2 linked regions of the Alligator mississippiensis genome follow. The protein of the gene in region 2 purifies or fractionates together with the protein of the main gene of each other region. This does not show direct contact. Links are inferred from orthologs where the notes say so. Each region holds a gene or a part of one and is shown on either strand. Other genes may lie near its edges. The genes, in order: ATXN7L3 and TADA1.

Region 1 (3,906 bases), on a different chromosome or scaffold from region 2:
ACTAGGGAACCAATTGTGCTGAACCCCAAGGGTGCACAACCCCACCTAGAGCAGAGATGAGGCTGCTGCCCCTTCCCACAGCAGGTCATCTATCATCAGGGGTCACTAGGCAGGGTCAGCTCATGCTAGAGCCTGGAGGTGGCAGGAGAGTGATGAAGTCATGGTCTGTGATCCTGAGGTTGTTCTGTCTGGAAGCCACAGGCACCAGTGTTTGTCAATGGCTCCCTGGTCCCTAGGAGGGCCCCTTCTACACAAGAGCTGCTAAGACGACCCCACAGAACAGATTCTCTCTTTGGAAGCCCTGCCCCCATCCTCAACCCATTAACAGGCATGGGAATCAGAAGCAGACACCAGGCCAGACAGAGCCAGGAGCGGAACCTGCCCCTGCCCCTGCTGCCAAACACTGTCCCTCCACCCCACTGCCTGCAACACTGCCTTGCCTGCCCAATCCTTTTAGGCATCAGTAAGCAAAGTGTTTGCAAATAAAATCTGGTGGAGATGGGGGAACACAATGCCCTGCCAGCTTCAGCCAAGTCCAGCACTCTCTACACAGCACAGAATTTGTATGTGTCAACCACTAACAGTGAACATCCAACTCCACTTCTGCTCTGCAAACCTCCCTTTCTCCGGCAGAAAGAGCGGTGGTCATGGCAGAGCACAGGGCAGTCCACAGAACCCCTAGTGCAGGGCACAAGGAAGGTCTGCAGAGCCCCTGAAACACAGGAGAGGGCAGGGCCCAGGGAGCCACTGGGGCATGCACAGAGCTCCAGGGATACTTCAGGGGGCATTTTCTCCATCCTGTGTATGACCTTGGCCTAGGCAGAGAAGGCAGATATCATGACCTATTGATAACAGAGACTTAGGACACCTGGGTTCCCCTCTGAGCTGTCCCTGCTGTGTGACCACTGGCAAGTTGCTGCCCCTCTCTGGTCCTGTCTCCCCTCCAACCTCCTGGCTTCACTGACAGTCAGAGGGGCTGTATAAAGATCCTTTACCATCCCCCTGCCATGAGAGCAATCCCTGCCATCAGGGCACAGCTGTACTAACACCTGCTGCAGGGGGGGGAGAGGGGGGAAGAGTGAAAGCAAGTCTTAAACCTCTCCCTTCAGCACATGCTGCATCTACACTGACTCTGTTGACATGACCAGCATGGCTGAGGCTCCACAGGGAAGAAGATCCCCTTGTCTGGCCAGCTGAGACTACAGGCTCCTCAAAACAGGGAACATCTGTCTCATGGGATGTGCTGCATCTCTCAGGGCAGGGCCCACGTCTTGGTGGGAGTCTCCATCATCATTGCAGACTCCCGTTACAGATGGATACCAATAGTGGGCACCCGCCTCAGCATGACACCTGTCAGCTGCCCAGGGGTGCCCAGCTCCAGGCTGGAGGCACCCAGCCACAGGAGCCATGGCATTTCATCCCCCAGAAACTGGGCCTGTCCCTCAGGCCAGCTTGCCGTGGTAAACAAGGCCTCTCCCAGGCCAGCAGAGGCCCTCCCTAGAAAACAGCCTCCCTGCCTTGGCAGCCAGGGGGACAGGGAGCAGCAGGTGAGTCCTGGCACCTGGGCACAGCACGAGTGAGGACGGCCAGGGCCGAGGCAGGCTCCGCACCAGGACGGAGCCAGAGCTGGGAGAACGGGGTTTGCTGCCAAACAGTGGCCCAAAGACGGCTGCTAGGGGCTGTGCTGTCCTCCGCCAGCCAGACCCGCAGAGCCGGGCCGAGCCGGCCGGGGGCTGCTTCGGGCTGCACTGCCCCGCCACGAGTGCGGCCGGGCCGGGCCAACGCAAAGGGGGGCATCGGCGCCAGGGCTCAGCTCATGGCGGGGGAGCTCCCCCCGCAGCCTCCGGCCGCCGCTGAGCACGGCGCCGCTGCTGTGCGGCCGGGGCGGGGCGGGGCGGGCCCCCGCCGCGCCAGCCAGGGAGGAAACGCCGCGGCTTCCTGCCCCGGCCCGGCCCGGCCCGGCCCGGGCGGCAGGGGCAGGGCCCTGCGCGCATTGTTCCCACGGCCCCGCCCGCCCGCGCGTTGACTCACCCCGGCCGTGCCGTGCCGTGCGGCGCTGCCGGCGGCCGCTCAGTGCCGGCCGCCCCGGCGGCGCCCGCCCGGCCCGCGCCGCCCCATGCCCAGCCCCCGCCTCCCCATGCCCGGCCCGGCCCGGCGGGCGGTGGCCGAGCACGCCCCGCCCCGCTCTGCCCCGCCCCGCTCCCTCAGCCCGGGCCGCGGCGGCAGTAGGACTGGCAGCCGGGGCGGCGGGGCGAGAGGCACAGCCTACCCCGCTGGGCGCGGGCGGGCCAATGGGCGGGCGAGGCGGCGCGGCGGCGGCCAATCCGCGAGGCCGCTGTGTTTCAGGCTGCGGTGCGCCGCGTGGGGGCGGGGCCGGGGGCGGGCGAACTGCGCACAAAGGGGCCGCCAGTTCTCCGCCACCCTGTCGCGGACCGTAGGGAATCCACAGCGGGAGGGAGCCGTGCCCGTCCGCGGGCTGGTGCTGACCTGCCGCTGTAGATGCCTCTTCCCTCTCAGTAGCCCCGCGCTCGTGCAGCTGGAGCTTGGCCGGCCCTAGCAACCGTTACCAGGCAGCCCATAATAGCAGCCCGGGTTCTGTTGGGCCGGGGGGCTCCGGGGCTCCCCAGGGATGGGAGGGGAGACTCCCCCTGCTTGGCCTGCCATAGCAACCGCTGCCAGGCAGCCCATAATAGCAAGTGTTCCGTTAGGCCAGGGGGCTCCCCACCCACACGCCCAATGCTGCCCTGGCTGCCCCTGGGCCTGCCCATGCTGCCTCCCCCGCCACCAGCCCCTGGCTTGCAACAGCTGCCCAAGAAGGGAGAGGCCCCAGCAGCAGGGAAAGGGGAAGGGAGAAAGCTGGCTACCCCACGGCCCCAGTGCCGCTGGCGCAGCCTTGCTAGGCAAGCACAGGCAGGCGCCAAAGCTGGTTGCATGCGCTCCCACCAAGGCAGCTGCTTCAGGGCCAGAGCCTGCCCACTGTTTGGTTTGAGGGCACGCAGGCCTCTCGGAGGCAGGAGGACGGGTAGTGCGAAGGCAGGGCCGCAAAGCAGGGATCAAATGGAGGGGGGCTGCAGGTACCTGCACTGGAAAGTAGGAAATGGGCTGGGGTTTACTCCCTACTCTGATGCTCGTAAAGTGTGTCCAGACTGCCTTGACCCACCATCGAGCTCAGAGCTATTAGCCCTTTCTCCAGAGCCAACAGCCTGGTTCCCTTTCTAGTGAGGTACACCAGGGCAATGGGAGCAAAGGCTCTCCGGGTCACCAAGCAGCTGTTCCCTGGTGCAGAGAATGTATAAATGACTGCTCCCAGTCCAGCTTCTGGGGTAGCACAGCGACATCTAGTGCCACTCTGGAGCTGTTAAAATACAGGCACAAGAAGGCCAGTGACTCAATCCCCTCCCCACATGCCACTTCCTCCAGCACCCACATGGCCTGGCTCTCCACCGCTGTGCACCTTGCCTCATGCTTACAAAAGGCAGTGCAGTGGCCCTTACACATCTGAAAGCCCATCTAAGCTGTTTGGAGTACCTGGATGAGGCAGGCAGGTCTTTTAGAAGGCAGTGAGGGAGTTAGGACCTAAGCTTAAAATATTCTGGACAGGGCTGCAGCAGCAGGGGAGCTGCACGGCTGACAGCCCTTGTGCCCTGCTGAGTGCAGATGCTTGGCAGCCCACTTTGCTCCTCGCTTCAGAAATCATTTGCTCAGTCCAGTCCCTTGGTGCCATACAATGGGCAGATCTAGGAATTCAAGGGGGTGTAATAGATGCCACCAGCACTGCAGGCCTGGATGCAGCCCCCACAGCCAGGCAGACAGGTCCACGGCAGCAGCTGCCCAGGACTTTTGAGTCCTCCCTGATAAACCTCCCTCTCCTGACCCTGCTCTCACCACCACCTCCCCTCCAATGTG
Region 2 (3,906 bases):
CTCATTTGATGTCCTAATGCAGCAAGGTAAAAACATCCCCCCCATATCTATGATTAATCTAGTGAACTGGAGATGGTTCACCTCCCAGTGACCTTACAAGTACCTGCTTCAATTAGCTTTGGTAAATAAAATAACCAAATCATAATTTTCTGATGTAGCTGCAAAATGAATCTGAAAAAAAACTCAAAATAAATCACCACTTTAAATGTATAGTGTACTTTCCAAAAATGAAAGCTACACCTATCTCAGAGTTGTGAATAATATGTATTAAGGTTATATCAAACAACAAGAATGCACTTTTTGTAGAAAACAGTGATTAAAATCGAGGTTCTCTGACCAGTTATTTAAATTGTGATTTAAATAGATTTAAATCAAGTCTACCCTGATGATGGGCATGTTTTTTGAGTGACAATAGTTCTTTATATTGGTGCTAGAACTGCTATTATAGCACTGATACTACTGCAACACCATTCTTTGACCTTAATGCTGTTTCTACACCCTTTGAGTTAAAATAATCAACTGGGGGGGGCGGGGGGATTGTGGGCTAAAGTTATGGCTTGCTACAAACACCACATAGCTCCATAGATCTCAAAACACATTTTACAGTGGATACAAATGCCATTGCCATTCTTTTGCAGATGGGGAAGCAGGTGCAAAGATGCAAAATGTTTTTCTGTGGAGCTGCATGAGAAAACAAGGAACTGAAGCCAACGGAACCTGCTTGATTTCCTGCAAGGCTGCTTATACAAACAGAAGCATGTAGCATGTTATTGAACCTGTAAAAAAGCCATTTGGGTTGGCTCTAGGGTGGGGGCTGCACTGGTGCATGTGTACCCCCTCTTTGATTCCTGGGTCCAAAGGTTAAAGCCAACTGCCTGGCAGTGGCTGCAGCATTTCTAGTCAGGCAATGTTGAGAAAGTCGCTTGGCTTCATGGCTTATTACCATCTAGCCCAGGGGTGGACAAAATGGTAGATCTGGCTGATGAATGAACTCCATTTCCCAGCAGCCCATGCCTGTGTGGAGACCCCAGCAGCAGCTAGGCTGTGATAGTGCAAGGCCAGAGTTTCCATGAAAACCAACCCCAGCAGCACTGGTAGGGTTCACAGCAGGGCGCAGAGCTGCTCCGGAGCCCAGCTGGGATCGTGCAGCAGTGACAATGTGGCCCAAAGCCAGGCCAGAGCTGTGATCTACAGCCTGCACGATCTGGGCAGGGTCCAGGCTCCTTGCAGTGGTGACAGTGTGGTCCAAAGCCAGTGCAGAGCCATGATCCACTGCCTGCACACCCCTGCCCGGAGCATGCAGGCTGCAGATTGCAGCTCTGCCCTGGCTCCAGACCATGCTGTCACCGCTGCAAGATCTCAGGCAGGCTCCAGAGCAGCTCCCTGCCCTCCCAGCAAGGGTGGCACTAGAGGGGGGATATAGCCACCCCAAAATTTCCAGTAGGCCCCTATAGCCTCCCCTCCAAGCAGCACCACCACTGCTGCCTGTCCTGCACAGGCATTGGCAGCTGAGCTTTCCCCGCTCCCACCTGCAGCACAGCCCCTCCCACAGGAAGAGTCTGGCACTGCTGCTGTCTGACAGTGCTGCTGCTGGGGCTAGTCTCCACAGAAACTGACCCCAGCCACCTGGGCAGGGACTACTGGGAAATGAAGTCCACTGACAGCTGAACTTTGCCCACCCTGATTACTTGATCCCTTCTAAACTCTTCATCCCACAGGCATTTTTAATTGTCTTGATGTTGCACCAATCAATCTAGCCTTTCCTCTGCCACGCTGCTGTCTCTTCACTGCTCCTGGTCACAAAGCTCCTATTCCACAACCCTCCCTGAAGTTGCCTTTTTTTAAACTTTCTTTTTGTTTCAGTCTTAAACTAAGGGCTCTGCTACATGTTCAAATTAAAGCCCAATCAAAACCGCCTCTACACTTGTTACACATTTTCAAGCACTCACTCTAGAGCAGGCCTGCTCTTTTTGTAGCTGCATAGTCCTTTTAATCCTGTGATCGTTACTTTGCAATTGTGGCCAGTCTACACCAGTTAATTGTGCAATAATGATTATTGTGCGCATGTGGCAGGGCTACATCTATTGCACGATTAATCGAGTAACTGTCTGATAAGTATTTCGCATGTGTGGCGGGTTTACTTTTATGGCACGACTGACCAGTTTACGGAGAGATACACGGGCCCTCCTGCACGGTCAAATGAAAGCGGGATAGAAACCAGCTCCATGTTTCTAAGCCCGACGCCTGCAGTGGGGCGGGATAATCACCGCGGTGCTGCGAGACCTGCCCCGCCCGTGGCCCGGCTCCAGCCCCTGCCCAGTAGGCAGCAGCAGCCCCGCGGCGGAGCCGGGGAACTCGGGCCCAGGCCCCTCGCCGGCGGGCAACGCTGCCAGGCTAGGCTTTGCAGGAGGGAAGGAAGGCGGCGGAGCGGGGCCGGCCTAGCTAAGCCCCCGGGCCCTGAAGCAGGGGCCCGGCGGGATGGCATGAGCCTGGGACAGGAGAAGGGGCTGCACACACGTCTGCAGCCCCAAGAGAGGGGCCGAGTGTCCGGGCGCGGATGCGGGGCGGGGCGGCCGGAGCGCACTCACTGCTTCACGTTCTCGCCCAGCGCCTCGCTCAGGTTCTTCTTGGCCGCCTCCAGCTCGCTCACGTAAGTCGCCATTGCTCGCGGCGGCAGCACCCGAGCTCCCGACCTCCCTCCCGCGCCGCGGCGCACGCTCGGCGGCGCGCGGCAACCGCGCAATCAACCCCGGCCGCCTCTTGTGTGTCGTAGCTACCGCCCGCGCCTCGCTTGCTTCCGGGATGTTGCGCTGGTCAGGGGGGGAGGGTCATGTAACACCCCCAACTCGGGGCGGGGCTGAGCCCGCGTCCGCTTCTGCCTGGGGCCCCGCCCCGCCCCCGCCCTGCTGCCGCGCAGCGACGCGCCGCGCCAGCACTCCCACGCAGCTGCTCTGTGCGCCGGGTGCTGCCACAGGCACAGCCACAGCCACAGTCATAACCATGCCGGGGCTGCTGCTCGGGGACGAGGCCCCCAATTTCGAGGCGGACACCACGTACGGCCGCATCCGTTTCCACGACTTCCTGGGGGACTCGTGAGTGACGGCGGGGACGGGACGGGGCGCTGGGCTGGGCTGGGCTGGGCTGGGCTCGGTCGGCTCGGCTCGGCTCCCGCGTCCCGCGGCGGGCTGTGCTTCCGAGAGGCGAGGGGCTGAGCCAAGCTGCCTGCCTCCTGTGCTGAGAGATGTGTTTATGTACGTGTAGCTAGACACGTATCTGCGCGCGCGCACACGTATTTGGGATTTAATTGCTTTTGGACTGAAATACTTATACATATAATATAGTATATAGAGGTGAGACAAATATGTGTGTGTATAGATGTGTGTGTGCGTGCGCATGTATTATATAAGTATAGCTATAAACATATATATACTTACACATATATAAGTATACTTACATATATGTGTGTGTGTGTGTGTGTGTGTATAAGTATATATATTTATAAGTATTTCAGTCAATTAAATTCCAATTTAAAAGCTAAAATACTTATACACGTAATTTAGTATACAGAAGTGATATATACATTATATATCTATATCCCTTTAGATAGAGAGGTAGATACCCCCACACACACGTACTTCCATCCTCTATATGCTGTATTGTATGTATAAGTATTTCAGTCCAAAGGCAATTAAATTCCAATCCCCAAATATCTCAGCCCCGTCTCCATGTCTGCCAATATCCCCCTGCTCTATTTTAAACCAGGCTGGCATCCTACATGCAAGCCCCAGGCCTGGGAATTCAGATGCCCCCATTAAACTTGATGGGAGCCGGGAGGGGAGTGCGCTGGGTCCTGTGGCATTTCCAGAGAAGCGGTGACTCTAGGCAGGGGCAGATCCAAGATTTTGA

What was found.
Region 1: the proteins of TADA1 (region 2) and ATXN7L3 purify together in Homo sapiens (affinity purification with mass spectrometry; 6 studies listed by BioGRID and IntAct, counting the BioPlex papers as one, with this or other methods). This does not show direct contact. The link is inferred for Alligator mississippiensis from reciprocal best matches to the Homo sapiens genes TADA1 and ATXN7L3.

What each region holds. Positions count from the first base shown.
Region 1 is NC_081827.1:159,444,764-159,448,669, reverse strand, and holds the start of ATXN7L3 (ataxin-7-like protein 3), read right to left. Parts: upstream 2,216-3,906; 5' UTR 2,032-2,215; intron 1-2,031. UniProt on the Homo sapiens protein: Component of the transcription regulatory histone acetylation (HAT) complex SAGA, a multiprotein complex that activates transcription by remodeling chromatin and mediating histone acetylation and deubiquitination.
Region 2 is NC_081828.1:43,836,722-43,840,627, reverse strand, and holds the start of TADA1 (transcriptional adapter 1), read right to left. Parts: upstream 2,826-3,906; 5' UTR 2,663-2,825; coding exon 2,589-2,662; intron 1-2,588. Other genes in the region: PRDX6 (peroxiredoxin-6), read left to right, coding at 3,001-3,092. UniProt on the Homo sapiens protein: Probably involved in transcriptional regulation.